3 linked regions of the Drosophila melanogaster genome follow. The protein of the gene in region 1 purifies or fractionates together with the protein of each later gene. This does not show direct contact. Each region holds a gene or a part of one and is shown on either strand. Other genes may lie near its edges.

Region 1 (6,566 bases):
CCAGGTGGGTCTGCACCGCCCTGCAGCTAACCGAATTCAAGATCTCGACGAAGCTCAACATCTGACCACTGCGGGCCGCTAGGTGAAGGTTGTTTAGCTGGGAGAAACGTAGACGCGGCTCGTGGGGAAACTTGGCCCGGATCTCCTCGGAGATCTCCACCAGCATTCCGTGGGCCATGTTGAAGTAGCCGAAATCGGGCGGATAGCCGTCGTATATGGACGTATGTGCCTCGTCTAGAGGCGCCTCTTCTGCGGGATCGACGTCCATTCTGGCCGGGAAATGGACGATGCTGCACTGATCGGTGATCACTGATCACCAGGTATGGGTATGGAAGCAATCCACACAGGCCCACTCTTTCCAGGCCAGGCGGCAATACGGTCACACCTAGCGGTGCACCTGCGAGAGTGAAAACAGTGACTCGGCGCGATAGGCTGACCGTTAGTTTATCGTTCGTTTATTCGCGCCCTTTGCAGATATTACATATGTTTGTTGATTCGTTAGTTTATCGTTCGTTTATTCGCGCCCTTTGCAGATATTACATATGTTTGTTGATTGTAAATATGAAACATATATGAAATACAGCTTGAAATACTGGATATGTTCACAAGTGTTGGGTTAGATTAAGTGTGCGAATTGAATATGCTTTCTGTGTGCGTGCGTGTGCGTGCGTAAGGTTAACTGTATTAGATTGGTGTATTTTTATATCGTGCTTTCTTTAGCTTCAATGTGAAAGTTTTCTACATTGGACCAGGCCTGGATCTTGGGTTTTATTCATAGAGTTTTGATAGTGTGCGTCGACAGGCCCGTCCAATGGAAAATTTTCATCGAGGCGTTTCGTTTTGGATCATATTTTCCCAATCTCCCATTTGAGTGCGGCGATGTGCATCGGTTCGCCGGGAAAACTATGCCTAAACGCAGCGAGTTCTTAATTGTACATCATATTTGTTGTTCCTTCTTCTCCATCATTATTTCTAGCATACGCTGCTTTAAAGTGTGGATATATAGTCTCTTGAGTTTACAGTGGGCTCAGCATCCTCCCTATGCTGGACAATATAGTTTTCAAACGTCTCGATTAACAATTCACTCGTTTCAAAAATGTCGCTTGAAGCTTGTGTCATCACTATTCAACAGTCACTGTTTACGTCACAGTCACGGTTTACTCACACTATCGATACACCAACGTGCTCGTGAGTTGTGCGCGGATGTGTTTGTTGTGTTCACGGGAAATTTGCTTCCACTGGAATTTAAAGCTTGTCTGCACTAGATCTTCTAAAAGGAAGAAAGTTCGTATGTGGTTTAAATCTCCATTCTCTGCCCTTGTCTTCTTGTGTTTTGATCATCCATTTTTTGATATACTGAAATGGCAAAATGTCGGTTAGGAAACTCAATCCCGAAAATCCCAAAGTGATTTGAATGATTAGCTTAAGCGTTGTGAGTTTATATTGAAAATATGTAATAAAACCTTTTACATTTAGCTAAAAAAGGCTACATTTTTATCAATATATTTGATGCATAAAATTCATTAAAAATACAAGCAAGTGTACGCAATTCATAAAATTAATCAACAATCTACATGAAGGCTTACCCCTCGTTAACTACGTTATCTACAAAGCAAATGGCAGAAGTATCTCAATATAAGATATTTACTTTACGGATCCACCAGAACTGGATTTTAGTTGGAGGCCGTGATGGCCACCGGTGTCGGTGAGGGTTGTGCCACGACTGGGCTTATGGTTACGGCAGGTGGAGCGCTATTGTTGAGCTCAGACACGCCTGAGGAGGATATTTCAGCAGCAACCTTGAGTCCATTGGGGGTTGCACCCAAGCTTTGACGCGAGTTGCGCTTACGGTGCATACGCGGCTTGTTTGGCGAGGGAGTCTTGGTAGTAGAGTCGGGCAACGAGGAAACGCTGCGCGACTTGTCACCTCCTGCTCCAAACTCGGTGCTAGCCGATGGGGAGCTGGATGGCCTAGCGTCCTTCACCGATTGGCGGCCGCCGCGTCGATTGCGACGACGATAATTGTTATTATTGTTGCTGTTACCCTTGACAACCGGCTTCACCGTGGTCTTCTTGGGATCGAAATAGCTGTCCAGAAGCTCGAGCAGCTCCGCCTTGTCCTTGCTCTTTAGCCGGCCAATTGACTGCAGGGCTATGTCCAGGCCCTCGATGTTTTTCTCTGCCCAGATGGCACTTAGCGTGTTCAAATCGAACCCATTCTCGGCCAGCACAATGCGGAACTTTACGGCACGCACACGATGGTACAGAGTGGTCTTGAAGTAGTTCAGGAACACCGGACGGAAGGAGTTTTGACGCTCCAAATTTTCGATCTGGATATCCAGCTCCAGGACATCGGACACCACCAACTTGGCAAACGGACGTATGGCATTAAACATATTCTCCAATGCCTCCGAGCTTTTTGGTTCCGGCTTGCCGTCGGAGTTGCTCAGCTGAAGGGCCACATCAAAGGCCAATTTGGCACGAACACTGGCATTGCCATCAAACAGTTCCCGCTTACCCTGAACGGCGTTCTTGCTAGATTGCTTATCGTCACCATTGGTCACGGTACTGTCCCTGGGGGATATCGATACCGAATCGGACACCATACTAGATCCAGATCCCAAGCCAGATCCAGATCCAGATGTGGACGCAGAGCAAGCCGCGTCTTCCTCCTTGGTCGTGGACAAGATCTTGGAAAGCTTTCGCAGACTGTAGTTCTTTATGTTGGCATCGCCAATGGAAGCCTTGGCCAGATTGATGCTGTTTGCAAACGACTTCACCGACGCGGTGAAGCGCTCCAACAGGCCGTACTTCTTCAACGACTCCAGGATCATGTAGGGAATGAACTTGCGCTCTTCATGATAGATAAGCACAATCCCGTCCGAGCTGGGACCCGCCTTGGTCTTCAGTTGCTCAAGCCAGTTGAGGAAGTCCTTGAGGGCAGCGATCTCAGACTTGGATTTAATGATCTGAGAGGATATTGTATGTTGAATTGTGGATGCTTCAATACTTGACTGCCACTATTAAATGGACTGGACTGCACTGGACTCACCTTATAAGTCTGCATCGACTTCAGCATACGATAAAAGCCAATCGAAATAACACGAACTTGATGACGCTGGCGAGCAGCTGGATTCAGATTCATATATGGCATGATGTACTGCTCGAAGTGGTCGGTGGGTGTATAAGCGGCCAGCTGGACAATCTGTGGGTTTATCGCAAGTGGGGTTAGGACCGAACGACGAACGATCTAACGGCAGTCAGGGGGTATTACCTCATCCATTAGACGACGTCCAGTGGTGTCGATATCCACGCCCACCAGGATATAATTACCGGCCGGCAGCTCAACTTTATCGCCCACGGGCGACGAGGATTGATCGGCGACGGCAATGGCCACTCCGGCATCGATGTTATCGGCAACCATTTTCTTATATGATCTGCGAAAAGCAATCTAGAAAATTCGGATAACGAAATTAGCTGAGTCACTAGAATTTTTTTTTTTTAAGGAACCGATTTCCTTTGCAAAACGCGAACCGCTTTCACTAGATTTTCGATATGAAGTGACGGGCTACGAATTTTCAAGAGTCTATTAAACCCAAAGCTACAACTAACGGTTTTCTTCCAGTGGCGCCATCTTTTACACAGATGTTTTTATGTGTATGTATGTATGTTCACTTTCACCACACTTTAGCACTTTTCTTTTGGGCTCACCTTTATTGAACTCCTTTTTCGTGTTGGTTTCGATGGGCTCTTTCGCTTTTTACGAACTTTTTCCTTTATTTTTCAAAAGGTTAAAGCGAAATTTGCTTCTGTTCGACGAGCTTTCACAAATAAGAAACAATTCGTACGACTAACTAAAACGTAATGAATAATTTCCTGATGCACCCGACGGCCTAGGAAAAGTGCGCGAATTTGACATATGCAAAGCCTGCTAATCGAGGTTTTTGACTTAAGTACGATGGGTTAGACAGCTGCAACTCGTCCACATCTTGCCACAACGCCCACTGTGCAGGTGAAAACTTTTTGCAGAATATTTTTACCGCTGCTATAATAAAATATAGTCTTTCAGCTTGTAAATAAATTTTTTTCCAATTATTAGCCGGCAAAATTGGTGGGTAAACAACAAATATTTGGACAAAAGCGCAGACAAGAACTGATAAGAGGATCAGGGATGACGAATTTCAAATGGTTGCGCCAGAGATGACAGGGTATCGATATCACTATCGATAGACTTATCGAAGACGGCTTAGCACTTATACCTACTCTGCAGCCCTGGTCGGCAGAAAAACAATAATCAGCTGATGCCATCGCTTATTTCCAACAATTTGCACCGCAAAAGTGAAGAATTACCAAGCAAATAGATCGCCTGCCGACCGAATTATGCTGCTGTAATCACCCAAGCACACAACGGTAAAGATAAAACCAGGCGAGATAACACCACGCACAGGTGCCACAACATGCTGTCCTACATAAAGCGCAAGCTCTCCGAATCCGACAGCGGCGTCAGTTCGGTCGCAACTGTGACGTCGTCGTGCGGCGGCGATAGTGGGAGAGCGGGCGGAACGGGCAGCAGTGAAAGCGGTACGGGCAGCAGCAGCGCCAGTATCAGCGGACGCAGCCAGAACGCCGACGAGTTAGTGCGCAAAACGAGCCAGATGTCGATGGATGATGAGGCCATTGCCTTCGGGGAGGACGCACTGCTCCATGAACTGGGCTACAAGAATCAGACGGAACTGCAGGAAACCATCTACGGTTCGATATTTAATGGCATTCTTTTTCACTTTGGCCTAGTTATGTAATTTCTCTTGTCGTTACACAGATCTGTTGCGCGGCATTCGCGATCCCGAGAAGCCGTGCACTTTGGAGGACCTCAACGTTGTCTACGAGGATGGAATCTTTGTGATGCCGCCCACGCGCTCCAATGTCTCAGTTGTACGTTACTCAATATCTTTATAAGCCATAAGCTTGAGCCCTAATCATCATTTCATCATAAGTTAAATCTGCGCGTGTGTTTATTTGCTTTCATCACTATTGTTGCTTAATATTTGAAAGGATTAACGATTTAGCTTCAAAATGACTTTAAAATTGATCTCATAGCTTAAAGTACTTGTATTATACTAAATCCACACCTCATAAATCTTTTGTGTAGTAAAAAGTTGAAATGCATGGTATTTGTCTCTTAATTCTTTCAGGTTCGCATCGAGTTTAACCCCACAGTGCCACATTGCTCGTTGGCCACGCTTATTGGACTCTGTATACGCGTGAAAGTAGAACGCGGACTTCCGCACAACATAAAGCTAGACATATACATCAAGAAGGGAGCGCATCAAACCGAGGAAGAGAGTAAGTTGGACCAACCAGATACTATTATCATACATATGTGTTCTAAGTAAAAATGATTACGTTTCCCCAGTTAACAAGCAAATCAATGACAAGGAGCGCATCGCTGCGGCCATGGAGAACCCCAATCTGAGGGATTTGGTCGAGAACTGCATCAAGGATGAGGAGTAGCTCTCTTTGCCATATCTTTTGTACATAGGGAATACTTTGAGGAATGTCTAGGATTAAGTGTACCATTAAGTTGCATCAGGGAGTGTGTGCTTAGCATTAAAGCCCTTAAAATCTGTTAATCGCTCGGCCGTTTTGATTCCACCAGAATATCGATTGCTCAACGTCCTATCTATTTTCCCGCCTATGCTGCTTACTGATAAGGTCCCCCGGGCCCAACAACTCTCATTGTTTACATTGTGCCGAAGCGATATGGCCGTCGGACATTCGGCCCAAGAAAACCGTGTGCACATCGGTGTCATGGCGGGTGAATGAATCTGAATCGCAATCGTATCGATGGGCCGGCCATGTTGGGCACCAGCCAGACGGCGTGTACGTCACACGGATTTATCAGCTTCAGAAGAGTAGAGAATGTTTGGGGCGTAACGCAGGGTAATCACCTGCCGTTGGCGCTGTTAAGTTGAGTGCATGACACACATTCGACTCAACTCGACTCGGCTAATTTCTTTGCAACTCTCCGGTTTCAGTGAGCACTTTGTTGCCATGACTGTCGCTGTTTCTGCTCCAATTTGCATTTCCGGGGTTTTCCATTTGTTAAATTGCACTGCACTTCCGCTCATTTCGCTCTTACTGCTCCCCCCACCAAAGTGGCAAGCCATAAATATTAAGCAATATCAATTAGTTGCTTGCCATCGCGCTCAAAATGCTTTAAACTAATTTCCAAAGACTTAGGCAAAAAACATCCCCACCAGCAATTAAAACCATCTGGCGCTGCGAACTTTTTGCCATGACACCGCTGGCCAATATTCACGGAATGGAAACCGGACCAGAGCAGACCCTTCGTGCCCCTAAGGCGTGCCGCGTGCCTCAGAAGGCGAGGGAAAAATAATAAAAATGAATGCGCAGACAAAAGCATATTGCGAATATTACGCTAATTGGCGACTGCAATCAAAGCGGACCTCGGCCTGGACACGTCGGCCGAAAGGAATAGGAGTGGCAGACACTAGCTTCTCCCAGCCTTCCAGCAGCCGTGTCGCCAGCCTGACCATGACCGAAGC
Region 2 (4,286 bases), 3.2 Mb from region 1:
CGCTTAAGATACTAACCGCTTTCCCCTCCTTGATAGCCCGAGTTCAGGAACGAGATTGACAGCACCTATGAGAGCTCCACGGAGCCGAGCAAGCAGTACAGCTCGCTGGCTTTGATCAACCCCACGATCGCCACCACCGGCGACTACAAGTGCGTGGTGCAGACCTCGCTGAACACCTTCTCCAGCCACCAGAGGGTTCAGGTCATAGACCTGAGGAACTACACCCTGGAGCTGTCCCACAAGACGATCCACAATGAGACGCAGCTGAACTGCACCGTGACGAACGTGTATCCCAGGCCCACCATCACGATAATGTAAGGACGAGCGCCTGCCTTGTCGTAAGACAGCCTTGTAGTAAACAACGTCCCAACTCAACTCCGCTCCTATTACAGATCCAACGACATGGACGTGGTGAAGCGGGAGCCCATGGTGTACGAGAACGAGGAGGGATACTTCGATGGCAGCGCCGTGGTGGCGGCCTACGACACCGACGACGATCCCGATGCCTACCAGTGCGTGGTGTCCTTCGAGGGATACGGCAAGAACCTGACCACGGTGGCCACGTCCGCGGCGGCGGGCAGGAGCCACGTCGACTTCAGCCTGTGGCTGTTTTGTTTTCTGTACTACCTGCTCTGCAAGCTGAAGGTATTGGCCTAAATAAAAGCGTTGTTATTTATTGTTACTAAATTAATGTTTATTGAATTCTGTTTGCCATTCAACTACCTTTTCTACGCCCCTTCGGCCTAGTTAACCATTTTGTAAATAAATACGAATACTTCACAAAACCAACTACGTTAGTTAACTCTTAAGGTTGCTCTGGAAATGGATGCCGTCCTTCTCCGGCGGGGCTTCTAGATTTTAAATCTACGACTGCCCTTGTCGGCTTACAGCTATTACATTTTGTAAATTAACTCGGCTTGAACTCGAACTCCATGCGAACAAATGAAAATATGGGCTGCAATTCGGAAATGTTGAATATTTCTGTTTATTGATATGTGGAGCTGGAGTCCAGCAGTAGATTGGAACAGCCGTTCAGGTAGGCCTTGTGCAGCTTGTTGGCAAACTCCTTATCGTTCTGGATAAGGTACGTGAAGGCCTGGACGAACTGCGTCGAGTTCAGCAGTGGCTGCTGTGGCTGCTGTGGCTGCTGTGGCTCCGGATTGCCGTTGTTGGGCGCGTCGAACATGGTGGGCGGCATGAGGGCCGGCCCGGGCTTGTCGCCAGCCAGCAGTCTCCGCAAGCACTTGCCGGCATCGTCGTTGGCCATCAGCGCCGACGAGGACGGGGCGACTGTCGGAGATTGAGCCGTAGCGTAGCTTTTACCGATCTTCAGGTCGCTCAGGAGCTGAATGTTAAGCTGCTGCATCTTCTGGAAGGGCGACAGCCGGCTCTCGTGATTGTCCCTGCCTGCCGGGGGCAACAGATCCTCGCCAGGCGTGGCTGCCCGCTGCTGTTTCTCCAGCTGGTCCACGGAGAGCGGCTGGACGCGGTGGAACAGTGACTCTGCCGTGGCCTGCTTGGCCGATTCGAAGAACTTCAACACATTGCCGGCCGTTACGTTCTCCGCCGAAGGCGTCTTCGGCTGCCCGCCGCTCACCTGGGCATTGTAGTCCTTCTGGGCCTTGGTCAGCATGTTGAATATGCTGGCCGGCTGGCTGCTGTCCTGCTTTGGCTGCTGGGGCGCGGAGACGTGACGCTGGGCCTGGCCATTCGTTCCCTGATCCTTGGACTTGAGCAGCCCGTTCACCAAGCCGCTGATGCGGTCGCACTCCTCGCTGTTGTAGAACCAGAAGCCGCGGATGCGCGAGCGCTCGTTGCGGTAGAGCAGGAACGGCGGCTGCGACTGCAGCTCCAGGCTGCCGGTGATGGGCTCCACGAAGGACGTGGTGTTCAGTCGGTTGTTGATGAAGATGCTGTGAAAGGGCTCCGCGTTGCGGTGGTATATGAAGAAGGCTCCCTCCACATCGGTCTTTTCCCACTCGTTCTGCGACGAGTTGAACGTGTAGAAGGCGACGTGCGAGGACGAATCCACGATCTCCTTGGCGTACGGGTCGATCTTCTTGATGGCCGCCAGGTTCATTCGCGTGATGCTCTCGTCGGCCATTGTAAATTGTATGTAATCTTCAGTTTTGGCTGTGCTATTGCGAATTGCAATTATTTGTGAATTTAACGGCGCTCTGGTCACACTGCCCCGTGGATGTTTTCCCGTGTTTATCAACGACTGTGCTGCGGTCACACCGAATGACAATAAACTCTTCCTTTTGTCTATTAATGATTTGTTTGAGAAATATTAAGTCGATTGACTTGCATATAAAAATGGCCACAATTGTACGTAATAATATTTCTCAATTATGTAGCATAAACATTTAATTTATGTTTACTAATAAAATTTTCAACTTCGATAGCATTTCCATTTCAATATATCGATACTGAAGACCAGCTCTAGAAACTGGCGGGAACTAATTGCATTGCAATTTGTATTTATTTGAACACAGAATTGCCACAAAATGCAAAAGTCTATAACGTAATTTACGATTTAACAAATGCTAAGTATTGCCAATCTAACAATCCCCCGTTTCAGCTCCTTCTTCAAGAAGAAATCCGATGCCACCGACAGCCCCTCGCCGCCCAAGAAAGTTCCTAAGTAAATGGTGCCGCTGTTTTCTTGTTTCATTACTAAATTCCTCGACAAATCATAGGATTGATGCGAAGACCGAACTCCCAGATGAACCCCACATCAAGAGCGAAAGTGCCTCCCCGGAAACTAAGCCCAAGGTAGAACCTATGTCTGTGGATTCCGAGGAGAAGACAAGTCCGGTGAAAAATGTTAAGAAGGAACCAAAGGAAGTCGATGACAAGACCACTGACAAGAAGGTCACAACCATAGGTCTCAACTCCACTGCCGCTACTAAGGAGGATGTGGAAAACTACGATCCATCCGCCGACTCCTATCATCCGCTCAAGAATGCCTACTGGAAGGACAAAAAGGTGTAAGTAGTGCAGGATTTTGAGCCTCCAAGGCGAATTATATCAAAGGAAACACTTTCCAGCACTCCCTACTTGGCACTGGCCCGCACATTTCAAGTAATCGAGGAGACCAAAGGCCGGCTCAAGATGATCGACACGCTGAGCAACTTCTTCTGCTCTGTGATGCTGGTCAGTCCGGAGGATCTTGTGCCCAGCGTCTACCTCAGCATCAACCAACTGGCGCCCGCCTACGAGGGACTGGAGCTGGGCGTTGCCGAGACCACCTTGATGAAGGCCATTTGCAAGGCAACGGGGCGTAATTTGGCTCACATTAAATCGCAGACGCAGCTAACCGGGGATCTGGGCATCGTGGCCGAGCAGTCGCGCGTTTCACAGCGCATGATGTTCCAGCCAGCGCCTCTGAATGTGAGGGATGTGTTCCGGAAGCTACGCGAAATAGCCAAGCTATCCGGTCAGTCGAAAATGGACCTGGTGTACAATATGTTTGTGGCCTGTCGATCGTCGGAGGCTCGCTTCTTTATCCGTTCATTGATTGGCAAGCTAAGAATTGGCATTGCAGAGCAGAGTTTGCTCACAGCGCTGGCCATTGGTTTGGTGAAAAAGAACCACATCGATGATTGCAAGGCTAGCAAGGTGCCGGATGTGTATAAGGATGAAATAGTCGACACCACTTTGCTGTTGAAAACTGCATACTGGTAAGAACTAACTTAAGAACCAGCTAATAATTCAGATGCTAACGAACTTTTGCAGTCAGTGTCCCAACTACGATATCATTATACCGGCCATTCTAAAGTACGATATTAAGGAGCTGCAGGAACGCTGCCCCATGCATCCCGGCATGCCGCTGAGGCCCATGCTCGCCCAGCCCACCAAGGGGGTCCATGAGGTATTTGAGAGATTCGGCGGCATGCAAATCACCTGCGAGTGGAAATACGATGGAGAGCGGGCCCAAATCCACCGCAACGAGAAGGGGGAGATCAGCATATTCTCGCGCAACTCCGAGAACAACACGGCAAAATATCCGGATTTGATTGCCAGGAGCACTGCCTTGCTCAAGGGCGACGTAAAGTCCTACATCATAGACAGCGAAATTGTGGCCTGGGATGTGGAGCGCAAGCAGATTCTGCCGTTTCAGGTGCTCAGCACGCGCAAACGGAAGAACGTTGATATCGAGGAAATCAAGGTCCAAGTCTGTGTCTACATCTTCGATCTGCTGTACATCAATGGCACTGCTCTGGTGACCAAAAACCTGTCGGAGCGTCGCAAGCTCCTGTTGGAGCACTTTCAAGAGGTCGAGG
Region 3 (6,331 bases), on another chromosome or scaffold:
TCGTCTGGAGCGACTGAGCATTTCCACGGTCACATCCTTGACCACAAACCTGTAGCACCTCACCATGCCAATACCGCATATGTAAATTAGCTTAAGAATTTATTTATATTGCAGACTCAATGATTTGCTCACTTAACGTAGATCCCCAATAAATAAATAATAAAAATTAGAATAAATATATAAAATAATATATTCGATAGCGATTTAAGTAAACATTTATAAACTACACTTTAGTTTAGAATTTACACAAATAAACAATACCAAAAAGTGTTTTTCAATTTTTTTATTTTTTCCAATACGTTTTTAAAGTTTTTTTTTTTACTTTCCTTTGTTGCCATCTTGCGTTTGTTGTATATTTTTGCATCTTTTACAGTTTTTTTTTGTATGTTTGTTTGCTGTGATTTACATGATTTCGTTCTTCTGTTTGTTTGCTCTGCTTTGCTTTCATTTCTTTTCGCCCGATGGCTATGGTTCTCGATTTCGGATGATGCATAAATGGGACAAAGTGGTGGTGTGGTTATTGGTATAGGTTTACGTTTTTAATGATCTTTAAATCGAGTAACTTAGAGTTATGGGTTTGCTTAACGCACAACGGGTAACAATGCTTTCAAGAATAAATAAATAAAAAATGGTAATAATCATTAAAGTAAATTGTATACCGGCGCCATCTAAATTGCAGTGTAATTGAAATTTATTTATGTTTTCGTGTTTGGTTTGTTGGTTCATACAATAAAAATTCCACAATTATGCAATTTTTTGACGACGGCCAGGCTTGATGGAAATTTTATACAATTTTTTGTTTGTTTTTGAATTTGATTGAAATTTTGAGGATGTTAGTTTTGTTGTGGTATGAGTTGTACAATTGATTCTCTGCCCTACGAAACTAAACAAAAAGCAAACAAACCGAAAAAACGCGGCGGCTCATTTAGCAAAATTTGCTGCAACATTTGCTGATCTTATTGCACCATGATGTTGCATTGGTCGCTGATGTTGAGGATGGGCTGCTGCTGCTGTTTTTCTGCGATTGTAGTTATATACTGCGGCTACTGCTGACGATGTTTTTGTTTGTCGGTTGACGATTTAGATCCTTTCGGATCCTTTTCTATGCAGTGCTCTCTGTGGTTGTATTTTGCAGCTCTTGAGCGCCGTTCTAGGAATTTGAACATGGGAAAACATGGCGAGGGGGGTAGAAATCATTAACGTAAGTACAACTTCAAAAATAAATCGAAGGGATGAAAGCAAAATGCTGGTTTCGGTTGTAAATTAAGTGTGTGTGTGTTGCTTGTTAGCCAATTAGTCACAGGTTAGGTAACTAAAAACTAAATGTATTAGAATGTTATGTTAGACCCAAAGCCTCCAAGTTAAGTGTAAAGTGTTAAATGTTAGGGTGGTTTCTCCGCTTTATCGCTGTTTCTCTGCTTTTGGTGTCGGTGCGTGTGGCTGCTCTGGTTGTTAGTGGTTATTTACGAATGCATCTACACAATGCACTTTAGTTAGTTGTTTAGTTTTTAAGACGCCTTCACCATGTTATTATTGTAGACCTTGTTGTTATGCTTGCGACTGACTGTTGCTGATGTTTACTAATTTAGATGTTGTTATCGTAGGTTTGTTTCGGCGAAGATGTTTCAGTTGTTTCTGCTGTTGTGATGATGCTGGTGATTAGTTCATTACCTTCTCTGGCTGCTGCTCCGAACCACCGCCAGGGCCATTTGGTTTCCTCTGGCGACGTGGACGTGGCTGTTGTGGGCGTGGCGGTCCCTGGCCTTGAACTGCAACAGAATAATATTAATAATAATATATACCAATTATCTAATAGCACAAAGTTCACTCACTGTATTCTCCGCCGTCGCGGCGTGGTGGCGGTGGACCATTGTTGAAGTTGCGTCGGAAGAAGCGCCTCTGGGGTCCGCCCGGTGGGCCTCCACCGCGACGTGGTCCCTGACCCTCGCCGCGCTGCAGACCCTCGGGATTCTGATCGTGGACACCGGGCTCGGCGCTGCCGTCACCGCCGCCCAGGCCGCGTCTCGGCTGACGCAGATAATAGTTGTTGTAGCGCCGGGGGCCACCGGGAGCTCCACCAGGCGGTCCTCGGGGGCCACCTCGAGGTCCTCCGGGCGGTCCACCGGGTGGTCCTCGGCGGAAGTTCTGTCGTGGTTGACGCGGGCCGGACTGCACCTGCTGCTGCGGCTGCCCGTCAACGATTGGTGCCGCCTGCTGCTGTTGCTGCTGGGCCGACGATTCGGCGTCTTCGCCTTCCACTTCGCCATCCTTGCGGCGATTCTTCTTCATCCAGGGACGGAAGTTACGGCGCTTGTCCGCTGCAAACTGACTGCCCCGCACCGGCTCACCGGAGGGACCGGTCACGTTGGCCGCCTCGTTGCCCTTCTCACCAATGACCACGTCGAACTCAACGACCTCACCGTCGCCCACCGAGCGGACCGCCTTTTTGGGGTTGTTCCGCGCAATGGCGCTCTGGTGCACAAAGACATCCTCTCTGGTGTCGTTGCGGTTGATGAAGCCGTAGCCGCTCTTCACGTTGAACCACTTGACGGTGCCGGTGACTTTGGTGGCTGCAATGGGAAAGAGTAGAAATTATAAACAATTGGGGATAATAGTGGGATTCAATATTTTTGGCGGTACTTATTCTACAAACGTGTGATCATTTAATTGATTTCAATGGTATAATACTTGTTTGGGATCAGTTGCAATCATTCCTTTATCAAATATTATAATCCTTTAAACATTATACATGCAACAAAAATATTAGGGAACAGTAGGGATGCACAGCGAGCTGACTTCTAAAATACAAATAATTCTACATAAGAAACTTAAATTATACAAAAGGGGTAGTTTTGAGATAATACTTTGCATTTTTTTTTTATTATAAAGGAGGGGCAAAACGCAATACATCTGAAACTAAACTAATACGCAGTTTGAAAACTCATTGAAGCGTGCAATAACATTGAAAGACGTTTTATAACCACAAATTATTGGTTAACAATTATTTAAAACTATGGTTACCAAAATTTCGAATAAACCATATAAGTATGCATATAATATGTTGATTTACGCGAAAATATAGTGGCATCCCAAATTATTTGGCAATATATTGTAATAGTCGCCGAATATTATTGTATCTTATTGGTTGCATTATGGTCTCGTGTTTTGAAATCGCCTTATAGCCATGCTTCCATGCGTTTTAGTGTGTGTGTGCAAATAGATGTACCAAAACAATGAACACACACATCCACACCCGGCTGTCTGCCCTCTCGTTCGCACTCCCGCTGCGCGCGCATTAACAAATTGGGTTGCCCTGGCTCGCTCTGCATGTGTGTATGTGTGTGTGTGTGTACACCTATGGGGGGGCATTTTTTAAAGAGGCGAAGCGGGTGGGGTTGGTGGTTGGGTGGGTGGAAAGACAGACGACCGGCAAAAGGCAGAATTTTCAATTTGGTTAGCCGGCGGCGCGAGCGTTCGTGCACATACATATATACATGCGTTGCGTTGCCTTTGGCCGCACAAAATGGCCGACGCGCGTATATTTTAAGACTCAAAACACACACACACACACGCATACAGGGAGGCATGTTTCTTGTTCTTTTTTCCTCCTTTTTTTCATTGCTATTTTGGTAGCAGCCGCCATGTGTTCGCGGCACATGAATGAAATTGGTTGGGAATTGGGTTTAACATGCGAGTTTCAGCCTTACCGATGACTTCCTTGGTGGGCGGAGCGGGCTGGCCCTGCTGTCCCTGCAGCTCGTCCAGCGGCTCCTGCTCGTGATCCTGCTCCTGCGGATTCGGCGGATTCTGCTGCTGCTCCGGCTGCTGCTGCGCCTGCTGCTGTTCGGCGGCCAGTGGCTTACTCTCCGCGGCATCAGCCATCGTTTGTCGTGGTTTTGTTATTTGTTGTTCGGCGACGACGAAAACGAAAAGCGGGAAATGCTGCTGCTGCTGTTGATGATGGTGGTGCTGCTGCTGCTGGTGTTGTTCGTGTCTGCCCGGCTGGTATTCGGGGTCTTGGGCACTCTCTCAACTGCCACTAACCACTTTGGATGTTGTTTTTGAGTGTGATCTTAAAACACTCGCCACTCGCAGGGTTTTCTTTGCCTTAGCGATTCTATTTTGTTCGCAAGCTCCGGAAGTGAAACATGACAGCCGGAGGCAGGGTTGCTGGTGATCGGACTATCGATGGGTGCTATCGATGCTCTGATACTGGGGGTCTCCAGTGTGCTGTTACGCGCGGAATGTTAAGCCATAACAACATAAAAAGCCGTTACATTTAAATTTACAAGAAAGGTTAATTGGAATAAATGGTTAAATTCATTAAATGGTTAGAATAATATAAAACTACAGTTTTATCATTAAAATGTATAAAACAACATGTCCAACTAAACAGCGGTGAAATTTATTGAAAACTTAGTATAGTATTTACAATAACAAACATATATGTACCTTTTATTTAGTAATTTTTAATATTTTTAGTTAGCTTGTTCTAGCTTCAACCGCATTCCGAAGTGTCTGTCTCCGCCAAAACCAATGAGCGTGCTCCACTGCAAATCCCAAGCAGCTTATGCCAATCCCCACGGACCAGAGATAGAAGGCGCCCTGCAGGATGTCCAGAGTGAGAACCACCTTTTTGTTACGAATCGCCAACTCGTTGGAGCCGGAATCCGTGTCCGTCTGGTCGCCCAGATCCTCGAGAAACTCCTCAGCATCCGGCGACGCACCAACCCGGGTGATCAGATCCATTTGACGCCAGTGCTCAAAGAAGCCGTGCTCGAGGAAGCCACTGTACAGAGATTCCAAGCGGTGCAGAAAGGGCGATCCTCTTGGTAGGATGTAGGTGCATATCATAGAGCGCAGATATTCCCGGGCGATGTGGTAGGCTGGTCGCTCTGCCTGCGAGTCATAGGTGATGGCCAGAAAGTCACGGGCGTGAAAATCCCGCATGATAAAGGCCGCTCGTCGATCCCTGCGCCGGACCACCGGCTGGTAATAGGATGTGGCTATTCCCAGTGGCAGCTGGCGACTACGGTTCTCCAGCAGACCGTATTGGTGCTCCGTCAGGGCGCTCCTAACTGCGTCATACATCGTGGTCACCGCATAAATGTGCACATCCAAATGTACCAAATCGTCCACTCGGTCCACCTGCTCCTCGTAGCTTGGTCGCACAAATCCGGACTCCAGTTTGGCAAAGTAGATGGTGGACAGGACGTAGCTGAAGAGGATCCAACCCATGAGGAACGTTCTCATCGAGCTGAAGGAGGATAGCCTGCCCGCCGGTTCACCCACATGTGTCTTGCCGAACATCTCGAGAATCTCATACCACGTTGCCTGAAACTGGATGACTCCGCGACGGGGAATTCTTCGCTGCAGACGTTGCATCACCCAGAAGACCAGCACCACAACCAAAAGGGTGACCAAGAGCAAGTACCACACAGTTCGCCGAAAGACACGCACGAAGATCAGGTACTCCGGCTGGATTGCGGAGGCGGGCACGACCAGGTGCAGGTTGCGACGGGTATAGGGATACAGCACCTCAACCGCTGGCCAAATGCAGTCGAGCACGAAGCGGGAATTGGGTGCAAAGTGGGTGTGACCACCGACTATGTCGCTGACCACGCCGGTGTAGTTTCCATTCGGAAGGCAACGACCGTAGGATTCGTTATCCTCCGGGAAGACATATGTTACTGAGGCATTCAACATCTCGCCAACAACTCGGGCCGCCACTCCATCCACTGCCTGATAGCCAGCTGTCTCCACAGGACTCCTGGGCATCGCCATCAACGGATCCGTAAACATGGAGAAACGCAATGGGTAGCCGCGCAAGTCCTTCACCTTTCTTGCGTACGGCACTTCGCCATCCAGCCGCTGAATCACTTGGAGACCACCCCAAGCAAAGGGATCAAAGTCAAAGGTGCCATTTTCCCTGCCGGTAATGGCCAATCCGTAGAGCAGCTTCTTGGCCCAACTGCCGCGAAAAAGTCGCAGTAACTGATGCCTTCCGGCATTTGGCCAAACAAACAGATACTTGTGCATATGCTTGCGCCTCTGGTGAGGATTCAACATGTCCAGGATGCGGCGTACCAAGGAATCACCCTTTTCGGCAGCCGGAATTTGAAAGATGCTTAGGCTGTCCGTTCGTCTAAATGGTTCCAGCTCATGTGCTTCCATGTTCCGTGTGATTACGGGCAGTCTACTGCCCACACACCGATAGAGATCCAATTCCAAGGCAGAGTAATCCGCATCGAAGGATGCCGGGCAGCTGGCACAGCGGTACAGATAGGTCACCTGGACATTCTGCTCTACGGCTATGCGACAGGCAATCTCG

What was found. Proteins that work in one complex are often made in the same cells at the same time.
Region 2: the proteins of exu (region 1) and DCP1 purify together in Drosophila melanogaster (affinity purification with western blotting, with the first as the bait; one study listed by BioGRID). This does not show direct contact.
Region 3: the proteins of exu (region 1) and yps purify together in Drosophila melanogaster (affinity purification with western blotting; one study listed by BioGRID). This does not show direct contact.

The regions. Positions count from the first base shown.
Region 1 is NT_033778.4:20,666,927-20,673,492, forward strand, and holds exu (exuperantia), read right to left. Parts: upstream 3,836-6,566; 5' UTR 3,712-3,835; exon of another isoform or gene 3,710-3,711; intron 3,566-3,709; exon of another isoform or gene 3,452-3,565; 5' UTR 3,425-3,451; coding exon 3,275-3,424; intron 3,206-3,274; coding exon 3,053-3,205; intron 2,970-3,052; coding exon 1,674-2,969; 3' UTR 1,649-1,673; exon of another isoform or gene 1,426-1,648; intron 1,357-1,425; 3' UTR 501-1,356; downstream 1-500. Other genes in the region: Fem-1, read right to left, coding at 1-268; galla-1, read left to right, coding at 4,458-4,752, 4,820-4,932, 5,193-5,343, 5,414-5,511. UniProt on the Drosophila melanogaster protein: Ensures the proper localization of the mRNA of the bicoid gene to the anterior regions of the oocyte thus playing a fundamental role in the establishment of the polarity of the oocyte. May bind the bcd mRNA.
Region 2 is NT_033778.4:23,888,089-23,892,374, forward strand, and holds DCP1 (decapping protein 1), read right to left. Parts: upstream 2,189-4,286; 5' UTR 2,105-2,188; coding exon 986-2,104; 3' UTR 676-985; downstream 1-675. Other genes in the region: CG5597 (uncharacterized protein), read left to right, coding at 37-314, 393-657; DNAlig1 (DNA ligase 1), read left to right, coding at 2,508-2,524, 2,582-2,644, 2,700-2,990, 3,051-3,683, 3,739-4,286.
Region 3 is NT_037436.4:12,121,005-12,127,335, forward strand, and holds yps (ypsilon schachtel), read right to left. Parts: upstream 4,147-6,331; 5' UTR 3,883-4,146; coding exon 3,708-3,882; intron 2,571-3,707; coding exon 1,833-2,570; intron 1,770-1,832; coding exon 1,672-1,769; coding exon of another isoform or gene 1,660-1,671; exon of another isoform or gene 1,151-1,659; coding exon 1,103-1,150; 3' UTR 676-1,102; downstream 1-675. Other genes in the region: CG11560 (uncharacterized protein), read left to right, coding at 1-55; Ir68b (ionotropic receptor 68b), read right to left, coding at 4,483-6,331.